Linked DNA regions of Mus musculus. The protein of the gene in region 1 interacts with the protein of each later gene in a biochemical or structural test. Links are inferred from orthologs where the notes say so. Each region holds a gene or a part of one and is shown in the gene's direction. Other genes may lie near its edges. The genes, in order: Prpf40a, U2af2, Mecp2 and Htt.

Region 1 (7,466 bases):
TGTCTAAATGGTTTGAATACAGCACCAGCAGGGGACAGGGCTTAGATCTATGTACTTGATTCTGCTTCCCAGCATGCACTGCCACACCCTGCTAGAACTATTGAAGGAGAAAAGAGTCCACTTTTAAGTGAATCTCAGGTTTCTCCATGGGTCATACTGCTTTTAGATATGATGATAAGATTTTCTTATCTTCATATATTTATTCCATATCGTTGCTTTCCAGATCCGGGAAAGATTTGTAAAGGAACCAGCGTTTGAGGATATAACTCTAGAATCTGAAAGAAAAAGAATATTTAAAGATTTCATGCATGTGCTTGAGGTAATTTTTAGTTTGTTGTGACATATAAAGGTGAAAGTTTGAGATGAAAATAATCAAGAATGTTTTGTTCTGTAGAATTTTTTCACATGACAAATAGGTGTGCAGGGGCTATTAAAGATAGTGTCAGAAATTTGCTTTTTGTTCCTAGGTGCAGGAATTCAGTCATTTGTCGGCCTCATAAATCAGCCAGTAATTAAGCCTGGGAATATCCTAAAGTTTTCTTGGACAGCAGATTTTTAAAAACTGACTGAACAAAAAACACATTAAAAAAATGTTGGTTTCAGATATTATACTATATTAGGTATGCCAAAAATCTATAGTTTCTGAATTACAATGGGAAAAATAGGAAGTTTTGCTTAAAATAACAGTGGGAAATTATCAAGTAAGTCTATAGTAGAAATATTTTCACTTGTTTCAAGACAGGCTCTTGTAAATTATCCTGAATTGACCAATGACTATTAAGTACATTGTTATAGACTGTGTGAGCTAATCCATTTATCATTCATAGAGCTTACATGTATGAACTAAATCCTTACAGGAAGTTATGTTATGTTACAAATAAGCAAACTAACAACATGAAGTAAGTTTTGTAGGCAATGGCGTCTAGCCGATATATATTATTTGACTATTTATCAGTGCTTTCAAAAAGTTTAACATGAGCTAAGGAAATGATTGAATGGGCAAAATCCTTGGTCTGCAATTGTAAGGACTGATGTTCATATGCTCTAGCATACATAAATGCAGGGAGGATATGGTAGGCTACATATAATCCTAGCACTCAGGGAGGTTAGAAATATGATCTGTGAAGAGTGGTAAGGCTAGCTACAATAACAGTTTTTCTGGGTTCCAGTAAGATAAACTCTACCTCACTATAACGTGGAGAGTATAAACTTATGGATTCCACAAACATGTACAAAGTACAAAATGGAGGATATCATCCTGAATGAGGTAACTCAATCACAAAAGAAGTCACTTGATATACACTCACTGATAAGTGGGTGTTAGCCCAGAAACTTAGAATACCCAAGATACAATTTGCAAAACACAAGAAAATCAAGAAGAAGGAAAACCACCATGTGGATACTTCATTCCTTCTTAGAATAGGGAACAAAATACCTATGGAAGGAGTTACAGAGACAAAGTTTGGAGCTAAGAAGAAAGAATGAACCATCCAGAGACTGCCTAGCCAGAATAGGAAAAGATGGGCCTAATTCTACTGCAGCTTGATGTGCCTGATAACTATGGGAGGCCTCCCCTTTTCTGAGGAGAGAGGGAGGACAGGAAGAGAATGGGGGAGTAAGAGCGAGGGAGTAGGGGAGGAGGGAGTGGAAGGTTTGATTAAGATGTAAATTTAAAACAAACAAACAAACAAACAAGCTTGGTTATACCCATATTCCAAAGCATTTGAATGTATTTGGAACTTTGAGATGCTGTATCCTAAGGAATGTATGAGCTACCTTTTTGTAATCAAGAATCCCCAAGCAATGAAGAGATGGTTCATTGAGTAAAGAGCGCTTTTGTGCAAGCATAAAAGACAGTCTGAGTACCCACCAGGCAGGGGTGGATACGGGGAAATCTTCTATGCTTAACAGCCAGCCATCTTAGCCAACACAAGGAATTTCTAATAGAGTGAGCCTGTGTCTCAGGGAGAAAGGTTGAGAAGCTAGAGAAGATAGCTTATTTCTTCATCTGGCCTTTGCATGGGTGCACATCACACTCTTCATTCACACACCACTTAGACACACATACAGAGACTAGCCAGCTTTGTACTTTTGGTAATTTGAGCTAGAGGTAATGTAGTGAAGTGGTAGATGAATCTAAAGATGATTCTATAGGAAAAGAGTGAGCAAGTCAGATTGTGAAACCTGATTAATAAGGTCTTGAGGCACCGTTCATTGAGGCAGAAAGGACTTCATTCTTAGCCAGGTTTTCCATTTCTACTTTTTAGACCAAATGTGTGTTATCTGAGCCAGGGATATAAACATTAGAACAAGGAGCATTTCCTGCAGCACTTCTCCCTTCCAAGTAGCCTTATGAATATTTTACAGTTGTGTGTACATCTGTGTAAGTCACAATTCATATGGAAGTCAGAAGATAAATCCAGGAGGTTTTTCTCTCTCTGCCTTATGATTGCCAGGGGTAGAGCTTGGGTCTTTACGTACTCTTTCATAACTGTTCCCATACTCCACCAGCACCACCCACCCACAATGAATTGTTTACTAAGTGTTAAGGGCACAACCTGTAGTTAAATAAGTGTTCCCTGTGTGAATTCGGAGGAAATGCTTCTTGGGACAAAATAAAAAGGAATAGATCTTGTGTATCCCAGTTGAAAGATGCCTGTTAGGTTTTTTATCTCAGTGCTTGGCCTAGCTTACTAACCAAACCTAGTCAGATTAGATGACAAAATTATGCCTGAATAATTTTTTTAATAATTATTGAAAGTTACACCTTTTAAGACTTTTCCCTACCAATGCTCTTGTCATTTTGATAAAAACTACTTCATTAATATTTTGTAAAAATTTTTCAGATACATAAATGAATTAAAATTTTTTCAGATACATAAATGAATATATAATATATGAATACCTAATAAGAATAAAAATAGTGATTTCTCATGTAATCACTGGACATCTTATTCTAATGTATCTTGCTTAGGACTTTTTGAAGATCTCACATGGTAAGCTTGTACCATTTTCTTGTTCTTGCCTATACAAAGCAAGTGCAGTTCTTAAAGTTTGTCTTTTACTACTCTAGCATGAATGTCAGCATCATCATTCAAAGAACAAGAAACATTCTAAGAAATCTAAAAAGCACCATAGGAAACGCTCCCGCTCTCGATCGGTAAGAAGTGTGTTGGCTGGCACAGTAGACCAAAACATTTGTGAACATGCTTGTGAATGTCTGTATGTGTATTGTTTAGGGATCAGAGTCAGATGATGACGACAGCCATTCAAAGAAAAAAAGGCAGCGATCAGAGTCTCATTCTGCTTCAGAGCGTTCGTCCAGTGCTGAGTCTGGTGAGCACTTCTCTCTTCTTGAGTCAACCTTGACACTTTGATTTCTTCAGATTTTGACATTTTCTTTTTCTTTCTATGCTCCACAGAGAGAAGTTACAAGAAGTCAAAAAAGCATAAGAAGAAAAGCAAAAAGAGGAGGCATAAATCTGTAAGAAAGTTTCTAGTTTTTAACAGTTCCAAGGCTTTGCTTTGGAAAGGATTCTTCGGCCTTCTCATAATCTAAATCTGTGCTCATTTACCTTGGGAATAAAACCAGAACCTTTAAGTGTGCTTCCCCTTAGTCTTCCATTGTGATCACTCGGAACTTCAAATAGGAACATTCACAAGTACTAGGGTTCCTAACCTGGTCTTTTAAATTTTAAAAGAGACAGAAAAAATAAAAATGCTTGATCAGTTTCTCTTCCAATGCTGTAGATGCATATTAGGTTGGCATAGGGGTTTTTCATCAGTGGTGTCTGAGTTTTAGCACAGATGCCCTGAACTAGATCGGTTGTCTTGGTTTCTATGCTGCTTCCTAGGAGTTTTAGCTATCTAACCCAGAACTACTTATTTAAGCACTAACATTTTAAATAACTTGTTTTCTCTGTGATTTTTCAACCTTGTTCCATGGATTAAATGAACAGCTTAGTCAGCAGTATCCTTATACAGATCTAAGTAAACCAGAGATATGCTTGATGAAAAATGTGCAGGAACTAAGGCTCTATATAGCTCATTAAGGGTGTGTGTTTAGCATGTATGTGGGGCCCTGGGTTCTAAATAAGTAAGTAATATCGCTCTATACTTACACAATAGATATAACCTGGTGCTGAGGCTCTTAATAGTGTTTTAACATATCCAGATGTTGTTCTTCCTGCGTTGAACACTGGAGAAACTCTAGTTTTGGGGATCAGAGTGGGGGATGATGGCGCACACCTTTAGTCTCAGCATTTGTGAGGCAGAGACAGGCAGATCTCTGAGTTTGAGGCCAGGCTGCTTTCAGAGCAAGCTCCACAGCAGTCAGAAATGCACAGAGAAACCCTGTCTCAGCATCTTAACAACAACAATTCCTGGGGTCAACTCACTACATTCTTACACCTAACCTATAAGTGTGATATTATTAAACATCTGCATAAATAATCTGTAAAAGAATGGTATGCTTATCAAAATTCTGATATGTTCGGTGTTTTGTACATAGGACTCTCCAGAATCAGATACTGAACGAGAAAAGGATAAAAAAGAAAAAGATCGGGACAGTGAAAAAGACAGAAGTAGACAGAGATCAGAATCAAAACACAAATCACCTAAGAAAAAGACTGGAAAGGATTCTGTAAGTACTGAAAAGTGTTTCTTTCCTGAATTCCCAAAAAACAACAGTTCATTCCCTCATTAAATCTTTGATGGTGTTTATAGGATTTTTTTTTCTTGATCTGCTAACATTGAAGAAAAGAATAAATTCTCTTCACTGCTTATCACAAAATAGCTTTCTGGTACCATTCATTTCCTTACCTGATTTAGGAGGAAATGCTTCTTGGGATGAAATAAAAAGAAATGTCTGAGCCGGGCGTGGTGGCTCACGTCTTTAATCCCAGCACTTGGGAGGCAGAGGCAGGTGGATTTCTGAGTTCGAGGCCAGCCTGGTCTACAAAGTGAGCTCCAGGACAGTCAGAGCTATAAAGAGAAACTGTCTCGAAAAACCAAAAAAAAAAAAAAAGAAAGAAATGTCTGGTACCACTTCATAAATGACTATCCGGTTGATTCTCTTACATTTATATTCCTTAAAAAATTTTAACAGCAAATTAACAGTACAAAATAGTTGTCATTTAACTTGGAATGAAAAGATAATGTTTGAATTTTACAGTACCACTGAGAAGTACATTGGGCACTGACACCTTGATTTTCAAATTATTGGGGTTTTGTTCTGGTTTTGAGACAGGTTTTCTCTGATTCACGACCTCCATGAAGAGTGAGTCCCTCTCTATGCTTGTCTCCTCTGTAGCAGTGGTTTAAACAAAACACCTCAGAGGACCACTCCACTTCGTGAGGTTGTTTCTCATAGACTTTAAGTCTTGTCTGTGTTCATGAGCATAGGTCAGAGACCATTTAGAGTCTAAGTTAAGTCTAAAACTTAACATTGCTTTACAGGATTACCTAAAATTTATAAAATTAGCAAAAACCATACTGCTTTGGAAGTGGATGTGTGGCTTTCATTAAGTGGGAACTATTAATATTTAATTGTGTGAAACAAAAGGAATTAGTATGTATCATTTTCCTTGTTTACATATTTAATATGAACTGAAGTAGCTCTATATAAGAATCCCTATCTTAGCATTTTTTTTTCCTCTAATAACATCCAAGGAATGTTTAATAACCAACGGTTGGGCTTTGGAGCAAAGTATCAGTTTTAAAACCTCGTGAGATGTTTTTGTGTGACTGAATTCCACATCTACTTTAGAATCTTTTTACAGTGTCAGTTTTCAGGATTAACTTTAATTGTAATTGTGTTGAATGTCTTTGCAGGGTAACTGGGATACTTCTGGCAGTGAACTGAGTGAAGGGGAATTGGAAAAGCGCAGAAGAACCCTTTTGGAGCAACTGGATGATGATCAATAAATTATACCAAATATATGTTTATAGTATGATTTAAAGTCTAATTCAGACCAGGGATTATTTTAAGTCCAATTTACATAACACTGGGTTTTAATTGTGTCACAGGAAAAAGTGCATTTATGTATTGTTATTGTGGACTTTATAAAAGCAAAGGAATTGAAAATAACTTGATTCTGTATCAAGAATCATATTTTCCTATGGTAATAACTGTCTTTCTGTGACCCTTTCACAGGGCACTACAGGATGGATTAAAAGTGGCAATTTCATGATAGCTGCAGACGTCTCTACTTTGTTCTAAGTCATGAGGTGATTTGATTTCCTTTATAGAAGTTGGATTTTGAAGATACAATGAAAATTTTTGATAATGTAGTACAAAAAAAGCACCAGCAACCTATGAGAAGACTGCTTTTTTGTGCACTACTGAACTGGTTAAAGCCAATGTGATCTTCTGTGGTGAGCTCTTAAGAAACAGGTGTTTTTGATGGAGCCTTGGTAGACCTTTAACAGCAGTGGTGCTAACGAGCACTGCTGTAAAAAAGCCACCATTATTTTTTATGAAACATCTGAACATTTTAAAAAGGCTTATGAGGGCATTATTTTGAGCATCTATTTTGAGGTGATGTTTTAAAATAGCTAACATCAAGTCAAATTGTAAATTAGTTGAAATATATTGCCTTAAGGACCTACTAAAGAATGTGCCACCAAACTTTTGAGTAATAGTTGAAATATCCTTGTCAGGGGTGGGAAATCAATGTTGACTTAAACATTTTCTTTTAATTTTTAATCCAACCTTTCTCTTACACTTTTTTTTTAATTCCACTGAGGAGGTTGTAAATTACCTTCCTTACTGAGAAGTATTGACTTCATGGTACACATTCTAAAGCATTTCTGATTTCAATATTTTTGTACATTTTTATCTATTATTAAACTTCTCTTGTAGTGTGCACTAGTCTTTATTTCTACATAAGCTGCTCAGCTCTAAGGAAATTGTATGATCATTTTCAAGATAATAAATCCCTGAAATTTTGTTTCATCGTACCCATGGTAGCTACAGTACTTTTTTTTAATATTTATGAACATCGTAAATCAGTGCATTTGAGGTTCTTAAATGTGTTTTCACCTATAAATTTCCTATGGAATATTTTAGAAAGGCAATGACTATTTTAGAAAGGCAGTGGCTTAAAGTTACAATTCTCTTTACCTGCTAACTCTTGAAGGTTAGTAATGTGATTTATACAATTTCCTTCAGTGCAGGAGATTTTGTTTGTTAATTCTTATGTAAAGATTAGCAGTTGTTCTTTAGTATTCTCTTTGTTCTTATAATTTGGACATGCTGAGATTATCTCTTTCAAGTTGAGATTTAAATAGAATATAAATTATTTCATTGCCCTTTAAATGAGTTAGGACAGATCAGTACAGCCCTTTTTCCATCCTGCCCAGGTTTTTGATTAAATACTGGCCAGGGTTTTAAAACCTCACAAGGGAGGTACTTTATTTCTAACCTTCTCATCGCCATGTCCATTTTCTGTTGAGATATAAGACAT
Region 2 (7,466 bases), on another chromosome or scaffold:
TTGTTTTTACCTTGTCCCCTTAGCCCTGGGATTTTAGGGCTTGATGTGTTGTGTATGCTATGTATTTGTAAGTACATATCAACAGATCTTTGCATGGTTCTGGTGTGTGGCCCTAGCATGTTAGTGTTCACTGATTCCATGTCTTTGGCATGTGTTCTGTACTGTTTCCTATAATTGTATATAGTATAACCTCTGATTGGTAGGTCACGATAGATCTTTACTGTTTAAGCTACAGACGGGGTCATTAGAAATTTGGATTTTTTGTGATCCCCCCCCCCCCCCCCCAATTCTGCACTAATCTTTCAGTGTTTAGCTGTAGTTTGCTGGCCTTTCCTTTGGCAGGTCAGGCGGGATGAGCTGGGATTTGCAGGCTGTATGACCCCTGCTGAGCTTCAGGAAACACTGGTGCTGGGGTCCAGCTGAGTCAGTGAGGCCCAGGTCTGAGGCTGATTGCAGTGAATGTGGGGTCCTCCGAGTAGATGCTCAGCATCAGAGGGTGCCCACTGGAACCAGGTCAAGTCACCCCTTCTCTATAGAGGAAGGAGCACATTTCTGGTAGTGTAGGACTTGGGGTTAGGGCCTGACTACCGAATGCTTTCTTACTGCAAGTTCTGGTCACATACCTGAGTCTAAAGCTAGCATGCTCTTGAAAGTATTGCTTGGAGAAGATTCACAGTGGTACTGGGGCTTGAACTCCAGTCCTTGTGCTTGTCAGGAAAGCACTTACTGTCTAACCTGAATCCCAAGCCCCTTTTTAAGTTCTCATTTTGAGGTAGGGTCTCACTAAGTTTGCCTAGACAGGCCTGGAACTTGGGGGCCTCCTTCCCCCAGCTGCATGGGTAGTTGGGATTATAGCCCTGTGCCACTAGGTCCTGCTTGCTTACTGACTTTCAGGTGAAGCTGTAGAACATCTTTTTTTTGTATCTCTTGGCACTAAATTCATTGTTTGGATTGCTCTTTAATTCCATGAATAGACAGCCACCTGCTGGTTTTACTGACACAGTGTGGCATGCCAGGTATTGCCTGTTCCTGAATCTTCTTTTAGCCTTCACTCAGCTAATTATGACTTGGAAGTCAGTTGTGACCCACTGCTTGGTTTTTTGTTGTTGTTGTTTGTTTTTCAAGACAGGGTTTCTCTGTGTAGCCCTTGCTGTCCTGGAACTCGATCTGTAGACCAGGCTGACCTCGAGCTCAGAAATGTCTCCCGAGTGCTGGGATTAAAGGTGTGCGCCACCACGCCTGGCCCACTGCTTGTTTTTACAAATAAATTTTGGCACAGTGTCATTCCTTTTATATTACTTTTATTACTGGTCTCATTGTGGTATTAGGAATTGAACTTAGAGCCTTGCATATGCTAAGCAGGTGGTTCGCCACATGGGGATACTCTCAGCCTTTTTACTAGTAGTTTGAGGCAGGCTTTCTCTGTGTTTCCCAGGGAGGCCTTGAACTTTGGATCTTCCTGCAGAGTTGGATTATAAGCTTGTACCAGCAGGCCTAGCTGTAGTTTTTTGACACATGGTATAACTGTATCTTAGACTGGCCTCTTAACTTGATTTTCTGCCCCCAGTATTGAGATCACAAGCATGTGCCACATCACATGTCGTGGATGGAATTGTCACTTTACAGAGGAGGAAAGCCAGGAGTGGTGAATAATAATAATTGTTCGTGATCACGAAATTCATAGGTTTTCTGGGCTGCACAGGTTGGCCTAGGAGTCCTAGCTCAGCTTTTCTCTGTACTCTTTCATGTTAAACTTTCTACTGAGAACATGTAGATAACAGGCATAGTTGCTTTGGGCCATGCTGTTAAGTGACGGGCCTCTTTCACAGGGAGTCTCTACATTGCTTCCATTAAACAATAGAAGGAAGATCAGTCCTGTGTTGTGTCTCTTTGGGATGTGCCTGTCTGAAGACCTGGCCCTCCAGGTCTGCCTGTGCTTCTGCACAAAATTACCACTTTGGAGGAGGCAGCAACAAGTGGAATTCTGTCTTGTTTTTTCAACTTCCACTTCCAGAGGAGAAAAACAAAGGTCACTAAATAAACTAGAGAGGAAAAGCATTTGATGAAATCCAATAAGTATTGATGATAGAGTTAAAAGATTTGTAAATTGGAAGGCTGATGTTCTTCCTGGGGAGAGAATGGACTGATAACTTACACTGACATCACCTGTAGTGGACGCTGCGCTTCATTTCTGTGGAAGTGAAGTTGTTGTTCTTAGTCACCAGTGTTAGCACCTTGTATCCCTGGATTAAGTGTAGCAGAATGCTTCTGTATGCGCCCTGTTTGTAGTGTGTTGGTCTCCCTTTTTCTCTAGCTGTAGACAGCAAAGAATTGAAGTTAGGACAACTGGCTTGGGTCCTACCTTGTTCTCCCTCTGAGAGAGAAGTGATAAGTCACAGTGATTACCAGATTGGGCTTGTGGTCCAGCTGCTGCCTTGCTGCTTACTTGTCAGAGACTGGTGCAGAGTCAAGCCTGCTGAGCTGCTTTAGAAAAGCTCTGTTGAAGTCACCCTTTTCCTACTCTTAGAACTTTACTTCTTTTGCTTTAAGCTAGGGCTTTTGTACCTAAGGTATGAGTCTTTTGCCTCCATATAAGTATATACTGTTTGGATGCCTGGTGTCTAAGGACATCAGACGAGAGTGACGAATTCCCTGGAACTGGAGTTAGGAGTGGTTATGAGTCCTCCTGTGGGTGCTGGGGAACTGAACCTGGGCCCCCTGGAAGAGCAGCAAGCACTGTTAACTGCTGAGCCAGCTCTTCAGCCCCAGATAGATTTTTAAAGTGGTTGTCCTCTGGCTTATGGCAGTACTGGATATGGCCTGGCTGTTAATGCTTCTGCTTGTCATAGTTGCACTGTAACTTAGGTCTGTTGCACAGTCTAGATAACTTGACTACTGGGGTGCACTTCTAATAGTTAGAAATAGCTGAATTGATGCTTGCAGTTCTTTGGGGCTAAAGAGTTATAGTGGGGCAGAGCCAGCCTAGAAGATGGGTGGGGCACAGTGACTCAGGTTCTGGGTGTGTCGAGTCATTATCTTGATGCTTTTGTACATTAGGATGGACCACTGCATTTAGCATGGGGGAGAGCTGAAAAGGGTAGCCATACAGAGTAGCCAGACTGATGCAGGGCTGAAAAGGGTAGCCATACAGAGTAGCCAGACTGATGCAGGGGCCTGATACTGACTCTAAGAATTAAATGCTAATATTGGTGAAGCTTGTGGGGTGTGCTAAGAAACATCTGGCCGTCACTTCTATGTGAGTTGAGTAGAGAAGTGGTGCAGACTCCCTCAGGTGATAGCACCATGTAGTTATATTAGAGCTTTAATGGATCCTGAACACAGCTTCGAAGAGTTGACCATTAGTCATCACTACAGTGGCAGTCAACACTGAGGCATGTTCTGAGACTCTGAGCAGCCTCTCAGCTCCTTGTCACATTACCTCAGAATGCAGGTCACCCCTGCAGGGGCTTATGGATACAGGGCAAAGGACTGAACAACCGAATGGGATGAGATGTTGGTGGGTGGTTGTCAGTTCTTCGGGAATGTTTCATGTTCAGTTGTTGGCTGGCCTATGCTTGTATACTTGTCAGAATAAGGGGATTTAGTGTGGCCTCCTCCCACCTTTACATGGTATCTTAAGTAGATAGGACCTGTGAATCCATGGTAGATTTTTTTTTTTTTTTTTTTGAGAGACTGATTCTTCTGCCTTAGCCTCCCCAAGTGCTGAAAAGACAAGTGTGTGTCACCAGTCACAGCTTTCTTCCTGGATGTTGGGAAATTACTTTGTATTGGAATTGAAGTCTTTATACATTTTTGTCTTTAGGAGTTGTATCCACTGTAGTCCCAGATTCTGCCCACAAGCTGTTCATCGGGGGTTTGCCCAATTACCTAAATGATGACCAGGTAAATCCTCTGCTCTTTTGCTAGCTACCTTTGTCAGCCTGACCAAACCCTGATGAATTTTTGGCCCTTTGTAGGTAAAAGAGCTGCTGACATCCTTTGGGCCTCTCAAGGCCTTCAACTTGGTTAAGGATAGTGCCACAGGGCTCTCCAAGGGCTATGCCTTCTGTGAGTACGTGGACATCAACGTCACAGATCAGGTGAGTCTGAGTAGCTGCTCATTCCATCTGCCCTTAACCCTACTCTTATTTCTAACCTTAGGTATCCTCTCCTCAGGCTGTGGGGTGGGGTGGGGTGGGGTGGGGCAGGGTGTTTAGTCTTAAGCAAAGCCTTGTGGGGACTCATTCCTTTTCCCTTGGTTTTGCCTCTTTCCAATCTTAAAAGCCCTTTGCCTTTCATTCTTTCCCCACCAATGCCTGGTCCTTTGGTTCCTGACCTGTTGCTTTTCCTGCACCCTTTCCACCCTTTGTCCTCTGACCATAGGCCATTGCGGGGCTGAATGGGATGCAGCTAGGGGACAAGAAGCTGCTTGTCCAGAGGGCGAGTGTGGGAGCCAAGAATGCCACGCTGGTGAGCCTCCCGGCACGTCATCTTCCATTGGCTAGAGGGACCCTGGGGGTGGGAAGGGTTGGATGGGTAGGTTTTCTTGAGTTCTGCCCCAGTTTTCATGGGAGGGGATTTGGGCACTGGGTTCATAAGTGCTTAAGTAGAGGAATGGTCCCACTAGTTGGGTGTAAGAGGCACAGGCTTGAATGGAGGGAGGCTAGTCTGAGCCATTTTGTGACAGATCTGTTCTCCCTGACCCCACAGAGCACCATCAATCAGACACCTGTGACCCTTCAAGTGCCCGGCCTGATGAGCTCTCAGGTGCAGATGGGCGGTCACCCAACTGAGGTCCTGTGCCTCATGAACATGGTGCTGCCTGAGGAGCTGCTGGACGATGAGGAGTATGAGGAGATTGTAGAGGACGTACGAGACGAGTGCAGCAAGTATGGGTTGGTCAAATCCATTGAAATTCCCCGCCCCGTGGACGGCGTCGAGGTGCCTGGCTGTGGAAAGGTCAGGGTGCCCTTTTATCTTTTGTGAACAAATCCCTTAGCACCCTGTCTCTCTCAGTACCTGACTAGTTCTGAACAAGGGTGACGCAGAGGACCCTGAGAGGATCAAGGTCTCCTGGGGTCTTGGGGCCTATAGTGGAGAAATTGATTTCTATATATTGATGCTATGTGTGTGTCTCTGTCTGTCTATCTATCTATATGGTGTGTGTGTGTGTGTGTGTGTGTATATGTGTATATATATATATATGTGTGTATATATATATATATATATATATATAAGTTCAAAACTTAGTTTTTCTCTTTCTTATGTGGGATCCTTTAGCAAGTAGCTTTTTGCCTTTTTTTTTTTTTTTTTTTTTTTGGTTTTTCGAGATAGGGTTTCTCTGTGTAGCCCTGGCTGTCCTGGAACTCATTGTGTAGTCCAGGCCGGTCTTGAACTCAGAAATCCGCCTGCCTCTGCCTCCCAAGTGCTGGGATTAAAGGAGTGCACCACCACACCCAGCTTAGCTTTGCCTTTTTTGTTGGTAAGATGTTACTACATATAGTTTTCTTACTATCTACGTGCCTTGAAGCTGCATCTGTGTTCTTCTTTCACTGGCTTCTGAACCTCTTTTTAGAGTGTGGTACAAAGGTGACAACCACACACAGCTAGGCATCACATGTTTGTAGTCTAGATTTCAGAGGCTCCTGAGTTACCACCTCTACACTATGGTAGGTTTAGATAAGCTTTGCATGTCCACCTTGGAAGGTGCTGCTGAGGGGTTGCTGGTGTTCTTATTCTGCCATTAGAAGATTTGGCTGTGAATAGAGCTCTTACCCACAAACAGCGGGGGACACTTTGCTAGGGTGCTGTGTTGGGCAGTAGCAGGAAAGGGTGGGTATCAGAGTTGCTACATGCCTTTATTTTTCTTTCTGGTACTAAAGATAGAATTCATGGCCTTATTGTAGCTAACTAAGCAAGTGCTTTATCCCTGAGCCACTTCCATAGACCCAAGTTCTGGTTTTAGATAGGTGCCTGTCCTAGGCAGATGGACAGAAGCAGAGACTTTAGGTAGGATTGCTGTGTGTGTGGTTGGGGTTAGGGTATATTCAATGTAGGGACTTGCTTTTGCCCCTGTAGAGCTAATTGCTACATTGCAGGAGTATGAATGAGATGAGGCCAGGATGTTCAGCCATTGGTTTTTAGGAACTCTTGTTATGGCTGAAAGGACCATGAGCAGGATTTGAGAGAAGAGGCCAATTTTGCAAGAGGATTATGGAGGTCCTTATGAACTTGAGGAAGAAGCCTAGGGTTTTCTTGTAGAGGAGTGGAGCTTCACAGATAGAAGGAAGCTGATGTAATGCTAGCTCTTTGATAATGTATGGAGAGTGCCGAGTCATGAGTCAGGTGATCCATGGGGTTGCCTGTATTAGTATAAGAGAAAGATGGTGGCCTGCTTTAAAGTATGTCTTGTGCTGGGAGATAAAACTGTTTAGTCAAGGTGATATTATCTAGTGAAAACATACAGGTTGTATGCCCCATAAAACTTGAAGTGGCGAAATTGCCCAGTGACATTCAGAATATCTCTGTGTCCATAGTGATGTGGTGACTATAATGGGCAATGAGAAATGGATGAGTTTGTGGAGATGGGAGTGACAGGTGAGGTGGAGCCATTTTTAGGCCTACTGCCTCTGAGGTTACTTAGATATCCTAATAGAGTCAGCTAGGAAGCAGTTAGCTGGGTAGATGGGAACTCCCAAGTGGGTGAGGATTGATAGAAACTCAGACATGGGGAGGCTGGGCAGGTTTCAAATGAATCTTGGGAATGCAGCAGAGGTCTGGTGCAGTAGTCAAAAGGAAGAAGACTATCTGACTAAAAAAGCCTCTTGACTGCTTCTTTGCCTGTATTTGATATGCCACTCTTTCTGATTCAGGCTGGCACCTTAATGGAAGCCTGCCTTAAATGGGGATTGAGTAAATAAATACAGGATCTCTGAATGCACAGACTGGCCTCTTGAGCGGCTAACTCTTTGTCGGGGGGAGAGAGTGTATTGATTTTCATTTGAGATGGGGTTTTACTATGGTGCCTCAGCTTGGCTAGCTTTGAACTAGTGTCACTTAGCTACCATATTAACCTTTGTTCTATTCTTAAACTTCTAAAAGTATATGAGATTGATGCTGATGCTTAGTGTATATTATCCAGCTTTAAGTTATCAATATTGGGGGGGGGGGTTGTTTCTGCTTTGAGATGGGGTTTTACTGCATAGTCCCTACTGATCTTGGGCTAGTGATCTTGCCTCAGCCTCCCTGCTGGGATTGCAGATGTGTATCCTCACACCTGGATTATGCAGTGAGTACTTAAAGCTTAAAGAGTACTTAAAGCTTAAAGAGTAGGTGCTAGCTACACTTCTGTGTTAACAGACAGTGCTTATTATCTCTGTCCCCAGAACCAGCGGGCTAAACCCATAACCTTGGTTTTTTTAAAGAATGCTATTATAGTAAAACAGTCTTCATTTAATTCCTTGGTG
Region 3 (7,927 bases), on another chromosome or scaffold:
ATTGGTGTGTATGATGGATGAATGGTTTTGGGAGATATTACATAAGTATCCTCAAGTCAAATTGTGTTTATACTTGTGTAGCATCATATGGGATGTGCCTTCAGTATTTTGAACTGTGTCATCTTTCTCATTTTTCTTTGTCATTTTGGAATTAAAAAAAAATGTCCCACCACTCCCACAGATTTTTGGATAGAGTGGATGTGTGTGTTCTATTTTCCATATTGCTAAAATTCTTCAGTTTGTTGAGATATATACATGTAGTATACTTTCCTGGTTGTAATTGCCCCACTTTTTATGTTGGGGATTGAATCCAGGGCTTTATGAGTGGTAGGCAAGTGCTCTACCATTACGTTTTATCCTCAGACTCTATCTCCCCATTTTAAAGGAATATTATTTTTAAATGCTACACTCTCATTTTTTAAATGGCTCCTTTTAATTCTACTGCTAAAATACTTTTGGTACAATATGCCTTTTTTTCTATTTTTTTTTTTTAGTGCAAGTATAAAATATGTCATTTAAATCTCTTTTATCTAATTTAAGGAACTTAAGATTTTCTTCCCAAAATTTCACAAGGTAGGAAAATGATGTACTTTATTTTTGTGAATGATATTGCACTGTAGATCTTGCTGTTTCTTGCTTTGTTCTCAATTAAATATCATGTTTCCTCTACAGCTTTATAGACATTTTGATCAGATTAAGGACATTCTAATTATAGTTCTTTAAGGTGTTTTTAAAATCATATGTAGGTATTGAATTTTATTAAATGCTTTTTCCTGCATGTATTGGGATACTCACATGATCTGTTCTTAAAATTATAATTGATTTCTAATTTTAAACCATCCTTGCATTCGTGGAATAAAACTCAGCCTGAAGGTGTGGCTGGAGAGATGGCTTGTTGCTCTTGCAGAGGACCCAAGTTCAGATCCTATTCTCTGTATATGCAAATACCTGTATTCTCACACCCCAACATACACACACACACACACACACACACACACACACACTACCACTCTTACCCACTTGTTTTTTACATTTCTATCTTAGTATTTTATGTGTATAAGTGTTTTGCCTGGTGCTCACTGTGGTCAGAAGAGGGCACAGGATTCCCTGAGACTAGAATTACAAATGGTTTAGAATGGCCATATGGGAAATCCTCTAGATTTCCCCCACTGTAGTAAGATATTCACTTAGGTGATCCTGTCCCAAAGTCAGCCATCATCCTTATTTTTTTTCTTTCTTTCCATCTGATATCCAATACTTTTGGCTCAATTTTTAACATAAATCTTAACTATCACAACTTATCAGATTTCAACTGCTACTGTCCTGGTTAAAGCCTTCATCATCTATCTTTCTTCAACTGCTGCCAGGACCTCTGGACCAGCCAGTTCTTCATTCTTCACTGGCAACATAGGTTTTATGGTGACAGCTAGTGACTCAAATATTTATCAAGGGCTTCTCATCTCAAAATAATCTCCTAGTTCTTTTGGTGGCCTAGGTCTCTCTCCAGTCACACTGGCCTCCTTAGTAAGGCAGGCATAGTCCTTCCTTAGAGTGTTTAAACTTGCCTAGAATGTTTTCCCCAATTACCCATATTGGGAGACGACATGAGGGCAAAAGCTAGAGGGTATCATAATAGCACTTCTTTTGTCCTTGCCCTATCTATTTCAAAGTCTTTATCTCTGTGCAAAATTTTAAGTTCTACTTTCTTGTATGTTTAGTATGACTCTTCCTTACCAGGAGTCTAGTTTGTCTCCTTGTTCAGTACTAAAACAGTGCCTAGCAAATAAATGAATAGAGAGGGGAGCCAAATTTGAATCAGAAAGTCTCTTGTTGCATAGTGTTTAAAAAACAAACAAAGAAAGAAAGTCTCTTGTTGAGCATTTGTTTAGCACAAAGAGCATTGGATGCTGACTGGTATCAGGGTAAGGCTGCTTTGACAATGCTCCCTCTGGCCTCACTCCCTTTTATACGTACTTCCATCAAACCATCTGATTCAACAATGACAGACCGATCTCTTATGGGCTTGGCACACACCATCTGCCCATTATAAACGTCTGCAAAGACCAAGGTTTGATATGTTGATTTTACTGTCAGCCTTAAGAGTGCGACATCTGCTAATTTAGTGTAATAATACAATCAGTAGACCCTTTAAAACAAGTCCCTTGGCTTGGAACAACGCCAGGCTCCTCAACAGGCAACTTTGCTACTTCTACAGAAAATGATAATAAAGAAATGCTGGTGAAGTCAAATGCTTATCACAATGGTGAACTACTCAGCAGGGAGGCTCTAATAGGCGCCAAGAGCCTAGACTTCCTTAAGCGCCAGAGTCCACAAGGGCCCAGTTAATCCTCAACATTCAAATGCTGCCCACAAAACCAGCCCCTCTGTGCCCTAGCCGCCTCTTTTTTCCAAGTGACAGTAGAACTCCACCAATCCGCAGCTGAATGGGGTCCGCCTCTTTTCCCTGCCTAAACAGACAGGAACTCCTGCCAATTGAGGGCGTCACCGCTAAGGCTCCGCCCCAGCCTGGGCTCCACAACCAATGAAGGGTAATCTCGACAAAGAGCAAGGGGTGGGGCGCGGGCGCGCAGGTGCAGCAGCACACAGGCTGGTCGGGAGGGCGGGGCGCGACGTCTGCCGTGCGGGGTCCCGGCATCGGTTGCGCGCGCGCTCCCTCCTCTCGGAGAGAGGGCTGTGGTAAAACCCGTCCGGAAAATGGCCGCCGCTGCCGCCACCGCCGCCGCCGCCGCCGCGCCGAGCGGAGGAGGAGGAGGAGGCGAGGAGGAGAGACTGTGAGTGGGACCGCCAAGGCCGCGGGCGGGGACCCTTGCTGGGGGGCGGGTAGGGGCGGGACGTGGCGCGGGAGGGGCCCGCGGGGTCGGGCGACACGGCTGGCGGATGGCGTCCCTCCTCTCTACCCTCCCCCTCCCTCTGCCGCCGGTGGTGGCTTTCTCCACTCGTCTCCCGCAATCGCGAGCGACGGTTCTCAGCGCGATCTCCCTGGAGCCACCTTCGAATGACGCCCTCCCGCTGCCCGCCCCATCTGTGCGCATCCTAGGCCCCAGCTGTGCAAGCGCCCTTGTCGTCTGGGCTTCGCCAGTTGGGGCTGCGCGCGCTCCTGCCCTTCTTGGGGCTTTGGGCCTCGGCACTGTCGCGCGCCCGCGGTCCCGGCCTCTCCCTGGATCGCGCTGTCCCCTTCTCCCTCGCGCGCCCCCACTCCCGTTACTTGCTCCCCCCTCACACACACAGACTGGCGCGCGTGCGCAGTCCATCTCCCGTTGGGAGAGTGCGCCACAAGGGCTCCTGAGCTCTTACCCCCATCTCTGGGTTTTGCTCCCTCCTCCTCCTCTCCCATTCCGTGACTTTTTGCCCCCACTGCAAGCGAGTCGGTCCATCAGCTCCATTCCCCACTTGGCAGGAACAAGTTGAGGGTTATTGTCCACCCACAAAAAGGACTAGACATTATGTTCCTAGGTCCCACAACTCATCATAAAGAGATGGTTGTAGTTCTCATCAGGAACCGTGGGCAAGGGACTGTGCGTTCCTCAGCACTCGAAGCTCTTCCGTGAGACCATGCCCGCAGGGTGCTCTGGTTCTTTGGGGATGCTGTGCTGTGGCTTCGGAATATGAGCGTCTTCCCACCCTCCCTCCCCTCCCTTCGCCAGCGATCATCCAGTTACATAAGTGGAATGGGACGTTGTATGTAACGGGCTCTCTTCGTCCTGGAGCGCTCAGGATCGCCAGTACCAAATGGGGCGAGATCATCGCATCGCTGTGACTCCTGTCACTTATCTTTGAAAGTTCATTCTCTTTTTAGTTTGGTTATGGCTGAATCACTGAAAATAAAACACAGGTGACTTTTATGTGGCAGTGGCAATGTTTCTGAGGTTTTGCACTAAAGGTTTAAAGTCATCATGGAGTCTAAAAAAGATTCCCTCTCACAAGAGAGACCCTGGTATGACATTGTTCAGTATGGACCCCTGAAGGGCAAAGCTTGTTAGGGGATACCTCTATGCTGGTTCCTTGTATGTTCGGGTATAGGTTGATCAAAACAAAAATGGGCTCCACCACAAATTTGATATTCCTGACTCATAGTCAGGCAGATATGTACTCTTGGTTAATTTTCCAGGAACACAAATGGGCTCTGTTGAGTCATTTGCATGTTGACTCCACTGTTTGGAATCATTACAGTGAGGCAGTAGGCTCAAATACAGGGTGGTTGATGACGATCATGAAACAGAATGGACTAATTTATAGTGCTAAGTGACTGAGATGTTGTAGGACAAGTTCTAGATATTTTGTTATACTACATAAATGAAACCAATTTGGGCCTGGGTAGTAAAATTTCACTAATAGGTAATTATTACTGTAGAGGAGAATTTTGGGTTTGTGGTTGGAATTATGTGAATCTCAGCAATTTCAATTAATAACATGATTAAACTGATATCTTAGGTTCTTTGAAATATGTCGAATCTCTATAAAAAGATAAAATTTGGATTGTTAGGTCCTTGGGGAGTTTCCACCAAGGATTTGGAAAAATATATTTACAGACTTTTGGTTTTTCGTTTGTTTTTAACTTCAAATTCAAGTCATACTCAGAAAGCCTAGGAAACACTTGCTTTTATTTTCTTACCTGGATATGTCAGAACCTTAAAGAGTCCAAACACTGTAAAAGTACAAATGATCTAAAATGAGTTAATACACATGGCCGACAGAGTGCATTCACTTTCACAAACACACCCAAGTCTTGCTTGTCAAAAAATTCCAAGGTTTGTACATCTGAGCCTGAGCTCAGAGTTGGAACCTTTACTTTGTTTTTATATTCTTACAACAGGTTTGCTTCCTCAGGTGCCCCTCTGGTTATCTATTTGTTGTACCCATAGCTCTTTAAACATCGTAAGCAACTTCTAGAACACAGTTTCCTTTCAAAGTGCCTGGTGACATCTGAAGCTAGTGTGTCCTAAGAATTTGAAGAAACTGTATGGCTTTCTTGCTAGTATTGATCTATCACATATGCCTATTTTCTTTCCATGAGAATGTGTCTTGAGTACTTTAAAGCTACAGTAACAGGTCACTATTTCACTGAAGAAGAAAGCATCATGTTGTCCATTGTACTCTAAGGATTATTTTTTTCCTTTTTTTTTTTTGTTATTGTTATACTGGTGGTCAAACCCAGGACCTCATGCATGCTAGGCAATCACTCCACATCCTTAGCCTTCTACTCTGTTTTTTGTGCTGTTTGACTCCTGAGGTACATATGACCACAAAGACTACACATAGACCACAAAGATTTTGGAAGGTTATGATATGTTTTTGCAATCTGTGTATTTTCCAGATAGAGTGGTTCACTCTACCTGATCTGCTTCTATGAAGCCTAATCTATTGGGGATAGGGAGGCAAAGCTATGGAGTTTAAGGAGAAATCAGCTAAACCCTTGTTCCAGTGCCCCAACTCCACCCATGAACTCCTGAGAAGTTTTTTTTTTTTTTAAACCTAAAATAAAGAGCAGCAGAGGTAAACGTGTTAGTTTGTTTGCATGGTAAATGATATATCCTGGAACCTGTTATCTTTTCTAAAGGTAATTGTCAGTGAGAATCTTTTTTTTTATTCATTATTCTCATATATTGCATCCCAACTGTATTTTCCACTTCCTCCTCTCCTCTCAGTCCCTCACTCCTCCCTTCTCCTTCCCCATCCACTCATCCTTTTCCCTTTAGAAAAGGCAGGCCTCCCAGGCATATCAATGTAGCATGGCATATTAAGTTTCAATAAGACTAGTCACCTTCCCTCATATTAAGGCAGCCCACTAGGAGGAAGGGGATGCCAAAAGTGACAGAGCTCCCCACTCCCTCTGATGGGAGTTCCACAAAAACAGGTCACTCGGTGGGGAATGTTTTAATTGGCTAAGAGCAGTTTACCACCAGTGAACTACTTCTGGGAAGCATAGACTGATGGACAATGACATTTCTAGTAGCCAGTGTTTTTAAGCGCAGCCTAGACTAGAGAATTCCAGGAAGTGTGGCAGAATATCTCATTTTAATCACCTGCTCTGGTAACATCTGTGCAGCAAGCCATGTGGCTAACAGAAACAATCTTTTTAGTTGGGTAGAAAACACTATTGTTCTTCCAAGGGAAGGACATTGTCCTCAGTGCCCATCACAGCCATTTTTAATCACTCCGCTGTTGTCCAATCAGAGTGCTGCACCTGCTCATCATTTCAGGGAGTCCAGTGGCTCCCTACTTCTGGGGCTAGTTTATACAGAAGGTGTGTGTGTGTGCTCTTCTGCTTTCTACAGCTCTCTTCTGCCTTTCTCTCCCAAGGAACATTTTCCTTTGAAAGTTTGATTTCAATCACTTTTATGGGAAATATAGTGTGTGGAATGTCTGAATGGTGGCAAGACTCAAGAGAAGGCAGACGAGCCTACTCCCATGTTAAAGGGGGAAATATGACCTTTTCCTGGACACTGCTAGCATGTGAATGTCTGCTCACCTAGCTGGTACTATGGATGTCTGGACTCTTGTTACTGGCCAAGCCTTAGTAAAAGTGTGCTTATCTTTTCCTAAAAGCAGGGGGTATTTTAGTATGAATATTTTTGTTGGATTTTCACCTAACTGAATTCATTTTTAACTTTTTTTTTCATCAAATCTCAAACTTTTTTAAGAGCTTAGAATAAAGCTGAGTTCAGCTTCTAGTGAAATAAGGGCTGAAGATATAGGGCTCAGTCAGTAGTGTAGAGCATTTGCTTCACATGCTCAAGGCACTGATTTCAGTTCCATCCTTACAAAAAAATAAATAAATAAAATTGCAGGTAGGTAAAACTAGTCTTGAGAAGTTGTGACTTTGCAGGCCTTCTTATAAACAAGGCACTGGTTTGAGTTTTTTTATTAGGCTGATATCCAAAAAACAATTAACTTTGGGATTTCAAACTGTTCCATGACTTAATTCTATGATTTAAGGAAATTATAGAAATGAAGAGGTTTTGCTGAGCCTTAAAAGAGAACTGTAAGCATCGTCTAGGTAAATAGCATACAGCTGCAAAGGACTTGGTTGCTGTTGCCTTTCCTCTGGATTCAACCCCATGAGTGACTATAATAGACTTAAGTTGTATAGTATAAGCTTTTCTTTTAGTGTAAAGATAAAAGTGTTATTGCTGGGAGAGCCAGGTATCTAAAATTAGGTATTTAGGTAGCTAAGGCTTTAACTAGGAAACGATGGTTAGCTTGGTGGCAACAGCCTTATTTGAACATGTGTGCAAAAAAAAAACAAACAAAAAAAAAAAAAAACGAGAGACTGAAGCCGGAAGAACTGAGTTTGAGGACAGCCTGAACTACATAACGAGACTGCCTCAAAAACAACAATGGGGGGAGGGAGAGCGCTCAGCTGTTTAGAGCACTTGTTTATCTTCCACTACCTTCATAGAGGCTCACAATGGTCTAATTCCAGTCCCCAGGACCCATCTTCTAGCCTCAGCAGGCACTACATGTGGGTAGTGCACAGACATACATTCAGACAAATGCTCATGCACATAAAATAAAAATAAATAAAATCTCAAAAATTTTAAAGAAAAACAGTAACAAAAAGGTCAAAAGGATCATCAACTCTGTGTTACAGCCATTGAGATGTACTGAATTGAGAGGGTTACAGAAATTGGTTAGAGAAGGACTTATAGTTTGGATGATGGCTTTGGATCTCCTGGTGTTTTGTCTTTTATCTCAGGGTGAAAACCCCTTTGTGATGTTAGAGCAGTTCCTTGCAGCTTTGACTGCTGGAAGCAGAAGAGAGACTTTTGCCTCTGGATTTGGTTGTGTTCTTTTTGAGGTGATGTGTGGGTGTTTGGGTTTTTTGTTTGTTTGTTTTGGTTTTTGGTTGGTTGGTTTTTGTTTTTTTTGGGGTGGGGGGGGAGTTGGTTGTTTTGTTTTGATGTTG
Region 4 (7,466 bases), on another chromosome or scaffold:
AACTGGACCCATGCAGGTGTACAACCAAACCACTGCCCTGGTGGATCCCATAGGCCACTGCTGAGGAAATAGATACTCCTGGAGTATAGCCAAGTGCTGTGGTGGGGCTCAGGCCATATCCACAGGAAGGAGGCATGGCTAAGGGTCTGAGTCACTTGTGTACTTCTCAGCTGTATACCACAGTTGTGTGGCATTAGTGGAATAATCATAGGTCAGCGGTCTTTAAGGATGCTGCTGAGGTAAGGGTAAAGTGTTGGATGTTGAGAGAAGAATCAACAGGAGCATAGATGGGTGTCCAATTTTGAAGGGAAGAAAAGTTGCTGATTGACAGTAGTACTCTGGGTATTAGGACATACAACAGTGAAAAGTTTTGGTACATTTTGATGTGGAGAGTCTCTTCAGTAATATCACCACCCCACCCTTTTGCTGCTATTCCTTTACAAGGCTGTCCCACAACTGCATTATTCTCCCCAGAGTGGGAAAGATCACCTTGTGCCCAGATCAATCAGGGCAGCAAAAGAACAGCCTGGATATCATCTTTGGCTTTTAAAACTCATACCCTAGTTGTGGTCTGAGCCCCACTTGGAACATTCCTGTGGGTCAAGGACCTCTGAGCCTTAGTCCATGATGGCTCTATGGGCAAGGTTGAGAGGCCAAGAGCCAGGGTGAGGCTCAAATCAGCTCCTCTCATTTCAGGATCCGCAAGGGATTTCCCTGTGAAGCCAGGGTTGTGGCAAGGATCCTGCCTCAGTTCCTAGATGACTTCTTTCCACCTCAAGATGTCATGAACAAAGTCATTGGAGAGTTCCTGTCCAATCAGCAGCCATACCCACAGTTCATGGCCACTGTAGTTTACAAGGTGAGGGTGTACTTGCCTTGTGGGGTAAGGACAGAGCAGGAGGAGGAAGGGGGAGCCAATCCCACACTTGCCGTAGGCCTGTCATCAGGGCTAGACTCATCCTTTAAGATGAGTGGCAGCTGTGGCCCCAGTCCCCTCACCCCACCCCACAGTCTGACCCTGTGCTCAGGGCTCTCTTGTCCCTAGGTTTTTCAGACTCTGCACAGTGCTGGGCAGTCATCCATGGTCCGGGACTGGGTCATGCTGTCCCTGTCCAACTTCACACAAAGAACTCCAGTTGCCATGGCCATGTGGAGCCTCTCCTGCTTCCTTGTTAGCGCATCTACCAGCCCATGGGTTTCTGCGATGTATCCTTCCTTCCATGGGACTTTGGCCAGGTTCCTTGTTCACTTAGCATCCAGTTCAGGTTTCACTGAATGTTTTCAAACCTAAACTCTAAAGAACCTCACAGGTGGGTGGTGGTGGCGCACGCCTTTAATCCCAGCACTTGGGAGGCAGAGGCAGGAGGACTTCTGAGTTCCAGGCCAGCCTGGTCTACAGAGTGAGTTCCAGGACAGCCAGGGCTACACAGAGAAACCCTGTCTCAAAAAAACAAGAACCCCACAGGTGATGCTTACCCTTCCCTAAAATGTTGACAGGGACACGAAACAGAAGGTCTAACCATTTGCCAGCCAGGGTTTATGGCAGTTTTACTGCTGAGGGAAAGGGAAGTCCAAAGGGAGGCAGGGCAGCTCAGGCCAGCCAGCCACTGGCCCTGCGGCTGCCCCATCATCTGGCATAATCTGTCCCTCTGAGGTTTTCTCAATGCTGCTTCTCATTAGCTCTCATCTTTACGCTGTGGTCACCCTCCTGGGGAAAGCCGTAAGTAAAGCTGCAGTTCCCGCCCTAACAGTGATGCCAGGAGTTCCTCTTGGCAGCCTCCTTCTCAGTAGACCACAAGAGTTACTAGCAGCAAAGCTGTCTTGGTGGTGACAGTACAGCCTCACCCTAAGTACTGGGAAAGCCTTGCAGGCAGGGTGCTAGCTAGCTCTGCCCTCCCTGCACTGGAGCAGTTTGAGCAGGAACACCAGCCACTAGCACTGTGTGGGGAGCACAGCCCAGGTAAGTGCTGTTGTGCAGAGCACTGGGAACCAGCATCCTGTCTGCACTGCATGACTCCCACTTCCTGGGCCTCTCTGCCTACCCACCCCTGTCCTCCTGGGCAGACAGCAAGCTGCAGCTGAGAAAGGATTACAGGCAGCTGCTGCTGTTAATGTGGTCTAGGCTGCCCTCTATTTTGGTTGCCCTCAGTCTTCCCTGGGCCTCTTGGTGGACTTAGGAGGGGAACCGCTTGGGGAGGCTGTCTTTCCACCCTTGCCATCGTTCCTCCTTAACTCTTCTACCAGCCTTCCACATGTCATCAGCAGGATGGGCAAACTGGAACAGGTGGATGTGAACCTTTTCTGCCTGGTTGCCACAGACTTCTACAGACACCAGATAGAGGAGGAATTCGACCGCAGGGCTTTCCAGTCTGTGTTTGAGGTGGTGGCTGCACCAGGAAGTCCATACCACAGGCTGCTTGCTTGTTTGCAAAATGTTCACAAGGTCACCACCTGCTGAGTAGTGCCTGTGGGACAAAAGGCTGAAAGAAGGCAGCTGCTGGGGCCTGAGCCTCCAGGAGCCTGCTCCAAGCTTCTGCTGGGGCTGCCTTGGCCGTGCAGGCTTCCACTTGTGTCAAGTGGACAGCCAGGCAATGGCAGGAGTGCTTTGCAATGAGGGCTATGCAGGGAACATGCACTATGTTGGGGTTGAGCCTGAGTCCTGGGTCCTGGCCTCGCTGCAGCTGGTGACAGTGCTAGGTTGACCAGGTGTTTGTCTTTTTCCTAGTGTTCCCCTGGCCATAGTCGCCAGGTTGCAGCTGCCCTGGTATGTGGATCAGAAGTCCTAGCTCTTGCCAGATGGTTCTGAGCCCGCCTGCTCCACTGGGCTGGAGAGCTCCCTCCCACATTTACCCAGTAGGCATACCTGCCACACCAGTGTCTGGACACAAAATGAATGGTGTGTGGGGCTGGGAACTGGGGCTGCCAGGTGTCCAGCACCATTTTCCTTTCTGTGTTTTCTTCTCAGGAGTTAAAATTTAATTATATCAGTAAAGAGATTAATTTTAATGTAACTTTTCCTATGCCCGTGTAAAGTGTGTGACTTGGCAAGGCCTGTGCTGCATGTGACAAAGTTTATGGAAGTGGAGGGGCCTTCTGGCCGCCACTCCCTCTCCTGTAGCTACTCAGTCTAGTCGGGCAGGTCCCTCCTGTAGCCCTCCCAACACCCTGTGGCACTTGCACTTCATACAGCTCCCTTTTCTTATGCATTCCATTAAGCCAGCACAGAGAGAGGTGTTGGTATTGACTGCCTGTGTGAGAATCCTGCCTGTGGCCTAACTGAGGAACTGAAAAACTGACTTCCACTGTTAGAGTTATAAGAGGCTTGCCCTGTGGCAGCTGCCCTCCTCTCCCCTTCCCAGGCATGACTGTCAAGCTATCTCCTCCCTGGTGTTGATGCACTCTCCTAGTCTCTCAGCCTGGGTAGAAACAGCATCTGCTGGACCCAAAGTGGCTATCCCAATAACCTCATCCCTGGTTGTGGCTGACCTGCACTGTAGCCTGCCCACACACCAGCTGACCATTGTGGATGCTGTCTGTCCCTTTGTATCTTCTGCATGGTTGGGACCTGAGAAGTGCTGACCTGATTACCCCAAAGGTGTCTCTGAGCTATGGTTTGTTGGTTTGTCTCAGTTTCTCATAGTCAAGGGAAAGCTTGGTGTCCTAGCAACAGTTAAGAATGGACCCAGAGCCTCTTTTGCCCCTTCCCATCTTGCCTTCTGTCAGCCCAGTAGAGTACAGACCTATGCCTGTCAGAGCCCAGGGAGGACTCAGCTGACAAGATGAGGCACCAAAGGGAAGGTTCAAAATCAGGTCAGCCTCTGGCCTCAGACAGCTTCCCATGCTGGTCAGAGCCACCTCTTCCCAAAGCCCAAGCCCAGAGTAACCAGGTCATGTTAATGAAAATGAGCTACCTTCATTTCCTGGCTTGGTTTGGGAACTCTGTTTGCTGTTTGACTATATGACCAAGCAGATTTTCTGCTGTTCCGCTAAGTCATATCTGTATTTCTCAGCTGTAGAGTAGGGGAGTGGAATAGTTTGGAGATGTTTCTAGGCTACACAGGAGGAAAGAGCTTGCAGCCTGTGATTAACTAACTGTGCTTCAGTCCATGGATTGCTTTCTTGAGACCCTTGAATTTCCCTCTATCTTTCCATCATGACAAGTAGCCTTGCTGCTGGGATGCAAGGTTCCCTACCAAACACAGGTTGTGGGGAGCCTCACACTTGGCCTGACTCTCCTCCTATCTGCCCTGGCAAAAACCACCCCAAGGCGTGGTAACAGGAACAGTGGACATGGATTAGGTCTTTCAAGAGGACGTTAAGGGAAGCTACTGAATTTTAATGAAAGAAATTCACCAATGCCCCTTTGCTGATTTAGGGCTTCTTCTTGTCACCCTCAATTTCCCGCCTAGAAGTGCTCGGGGACCATGTGAAAGTTCTTACAGTGCTGCTGCCACACTCTGAGGTTGGTCCAACCGCTCTGAGATGAGCATGGTGCAGGCCTGATTACTCCTCATGGTAGATGTTCATAAGGAAACTCAATATAAAATCTAGAGCCATTCACCAGGGGATTATATCAGTGAGCTCAACCTCAAGTTTAGTTGGCCTCTTGTTTAGTGTGATCAGAAACAATTCTTAGTATGGGGCAAGGACAGCCTCTGCCACAAAGTTGTTGTCTGCTCATGGGTGCCACAACCTAGAGATGCACCTGGGTACAGGCAGGTATGTATTTGTGTACACACATAAACACACACACAATCCTCAAAGACATATGCAAGGCCTCTAAAAATGCCTGCCTGTTTTTTCTGAAAGCAGACTTTTCTTGCAACTGCCACATACAGTCAGCTTTGTGAGTCTAGCATCTGAGAATGGGACTCAATTTTTAAAAGTCCATAGCTCATTAAAGTCTCACTGGAGACATTGCCCCACCTGTCTAACTGCAGGAGGGACTAAAACTTTTTATCAAATTCCTCAAAAATCTAAAGATTTCCAAGCTTTATTTAAAAACAAAAGTTATTTTGACTATGAGGTTTTAGGGGTAGGAGGTGGGATGTTGTTTCTGTTTCCATGGTGGTACTGTCAGGAAAGATTTTAATAAAACCAGGGTAGAACTTTTGGCAATGCACTTCAGCATGTTTCTTCTCCAAAATGTGCCTCCCTCCCTCCCACTGATGGCCCCCTTGACATGTAGGTGACTTAGCCACTGCCAAGTGCCCTTTATGGTTCTCTCATTTTGTCTGCACATGTACCCTTCAGGAGGGAAGAACTGGAGTGGAACCACCTCCTGCCCTGTAGAATGCAGTGCCAGGGAAGGGACCAATCCTAACAGGTGCCTTCCCTGGCAGGAAGTACCTTCCCGTGAGTGAGTGAAGCAGCTCTGCTTCCGGCTCATGGGACAGGTTTTATACAGCAATAGCTTGTCTCACAGCCACGTCACAAGGAGTCTTGCCTCCCATTGTGGGGCTGCAGAATTGGTCTCCTTGCCACCTGTGAGCATCCTTCCCCACACAGTCTCCTTCCCTCCCTCCTTCCCTCCCTCCCTCCCTCCCTCCCTCCGTCCCTCCCTCCCTCCCTCAGCATTGAGCACTAGGATCATGGCTGCTACCAGGACAGGCATGAAGCTGTCCTCCAGGGATTGGTATGTGGGAGTCGAAGACACTGAGCTGCTGATGCTGGGTGTGGGCTCAGGATATCATGGTTGGGAAAAGAATTGTTCCTCAGTGGGTCTGGAGCCTCCAGGAAAGAAGAACCAATGCTGAGCAGTGTGACAACTAAAGATGATATCAAGGTTCAGGGCCACCCTCCATGTGTGCTTGTCACACTCTAGAGCCATCGAAGGAACTGCTCCCCTCAAGTGTCTCTGGAAACACCCTCTGCCGCAAGCTGGGTGTAAGATAATAGGTGGCAGAGACCTATCTGCAGAGATTTGGCTGCATTCTAGGGGGCTCCTGTCCAAGCCTTGCTGCTGTATGCCATGGGCTTCACTGGGAACTAGGAGGGCTGTGATGGGTGTGCCCCGGAGCCCAGCCTAGACCTGGCTGTCCATTTCCAAAAGGAAGGACTGACATGAAATGTATATTTAAAATTTTTAAATTGCAGATATTGTACAGTTGAATTAAAGAAGCGATTAAACCACCTGTTGTTGCTGTTTGAGGCTTGCTTTACTTATAAAACCTCCTTTCTAGCATTTGAGGAGAGCATCCTGCTTATCTCCAGTGGGGCAAGGATACTACCAGCAGCCATCTTGACACTGTAAAGATCAGGCAATACTAGGTATAGAATGAGACTGTGTGCCTGGAATTGGGACCAGGCCTAGGAGTATTCGCAGACCCTATTGAAGTGGTCTCCCTGTCTGGGAGATATGGTGTGCCAAGTTCTCATAGTTATTGGCATTTTAAGCCTGTCGTGTGAGATCCTAGGTATTGTTTCAGCTTCCACACATTGCTCCAGGGTTCTAGAGGGGTGGTGAGGCTCTGTCCTCACACAGGACACAGTTAGTAGTCCTTGGAGTCTTTGCATGCTCTCCACCAGCCCTTCTGCCTTTCTGGACATGCTCCTGATCCACATGGATCCTCTTCTGCCCTTCAACATGACTGGTCTTACCACCTTTGTCCTGCTGTGTCTGCAACACCTACCCTGTCCTTTGTAGGTTACAACTTCTTTTAGGTTGTCTATGACATTGCCTGTCTTACCAGGTCCCTTCTTTAGTATCTGGGCTAAACCTGAAATGCAGGTACTTCATCCACCAACCTGCAGGAACAAGGCTGTTTGGGGAACACTTTCTAAAGGCCTGTCAAGTTTCAGTTGTGAGGCAGGAGTTGTCTACCTGATCCTTCAACCCACCAGACCCTGACGTTAGTGCCAGGATAACTCTTGGGAGTCTTATAGAGCCCAGTGCATGCCACTATCCCTTCTAGGACATGGCACAGGGTCTGTTCTCTGTACAAGATAATGAACCTTTGGCAGGAAGGGCCTGGTAGGTGCCCCACCATGTTTAGGTCTTTGCCCAGTAACTCAAGCATTTGATGGCAGCATGGATGTTATTGCTTCAACTCCCTGAATCTACCTCAGCAGTCCTCTCTAGGACTACGGTGATATTGCCCTTAAGGTCTTCATCAACGCCGGGCATGGTGGCACACACCTTTAATCCCATCACTTGGGAGGGATTTCTGAGTTTGAGGCCAGCCTGGTCTACAATGTGAGTTCCAGGACAGCCAGGGCTATACAGAGAAACCCTGTCTACAAAAACAAAAACAAAAAGATCTTCATCAACACTTGAGTTTTGCTCACTTCAGGAAAATGAAGTACCCCTGCCCTCCTGGTGGATAGCCAGACCTTTGACCTAACAGGCATGGGTGGTATTCCAGAAAGGATAAGGTAAGCCTCCCTGGGGTATTGGCAGCACATTATTCCTTCTAGCCACTAAAGCAGAACGCAAGCCCTCACCATAGCAAGTCCAGCCCTCCTGC

The links.
Region 2: the proteins of Prpf40a (region 1) and U2af2 form a complex in vitro, tested with the Homo sapiens proteins (2 studies listed by BioGRID). The link is inferred for Mus musculus from reciprocal best matches to the Homo sapiens genes PRPF40A and U2AF2.
Region 3: the proteins of Prpf40a (region 1) and Mecp2 form a complex in vitro, tested with the Homo sapiens proteins (2 studies listed by BioGRID, with this or other methods). The link is inferred for Mus musculus from reciprocal best matches to the Homo sapiens genes PRPF40A and MECP2.
Region 4: the proteins of Prpf40a (region 1) and Htt form a complex in vitro, tested with the Homo sapiens proteins (2 studies listed by BioGRID and IntAct, with this or other methods). The link is inferred for Mus musculus from reciprocal best matches to the Homo sapiens genes PRPF40A and HTT.

Annotation. Positions count from the first base shown.
Region 1 is NC_000068.7:53,137,637-53,145,102, reverse strand, and holds part of Prpf40a (pre-mRNA-processing factor 40 homolog A), read left to right. Parts: intron 1-223; coding exon 224-319; intron 320-3,073; coding exon 3,074-3,160; intron 3,161-3,239; coding exon 3,240-3,336; intron 3,337-3,422; coding exon 3,423-3,484; intron 3,485-4,510; coding exon 4,511-4,642; intron 4,643-5,832; coding exon 5,833-5,925; 3' UTR 5,926-7,466.
Region 2 is NC_000073.6:5,070,758-5,078,223, forward strand, and holds part of U2af2 (splicing factor U2AF 65 kDa subunit), read left to right. Parts: intron 1-3,823; coding exon 3,824-3,903; intron 3,904-3,977; coding exon 3,978-4,100; intron 4,101-4,383; coding exon 4,384-4,470; coding exon of another isoform or gene 4,471-4,482; intron 4,483-4,710; coding exon 4,711-4,959; intron 4,960-7,466. UniProt on the Homo sapiens protein: Plays a role in pre-mRNA splicing and 3'-end processing. By recruiting PRPF19 and the PRP19C/Prp19 complex/NTC/Nineteen complex to the RNA polymerase II C-terminal domain (CTD), and thereby pre-mRNA, may couple transcription to splicing.
Region 3 is NC_000086.7:74,080,375-74,088,301, reverse strand, and holds the start of Mecp2 (methyl-CpG-binding protein 2), read left to right. Parts: upstream 1-2,611; 5' UTR 2,612-2,715; coding exon of another isoform or gene 2,716-2,792; intron 2,793-7,717; exon of another isoform or gene 7,718-7,819; intron 7,820-7,927. UniProt on the Homo sapiens protein: Chromosomal protein that binds to methylated DNA. It can bind specifically to a single methyl-CpG pair. It is not influenced by sequences flanking the methyl-CpGs.
Region 4 is NC_000071.6:34,906,388-34,913,853, forward strand, and holds the end of Htt (huntingtin), read left to right. Parts: intron 1-696; coding exon 697-859; intron 860-1,045; coding exon 1,046-1,206; intron 1,207-2,244; coding exon 2,245-2,458; 3' UTR 2,459-6,147; downstream 6,148-7,466.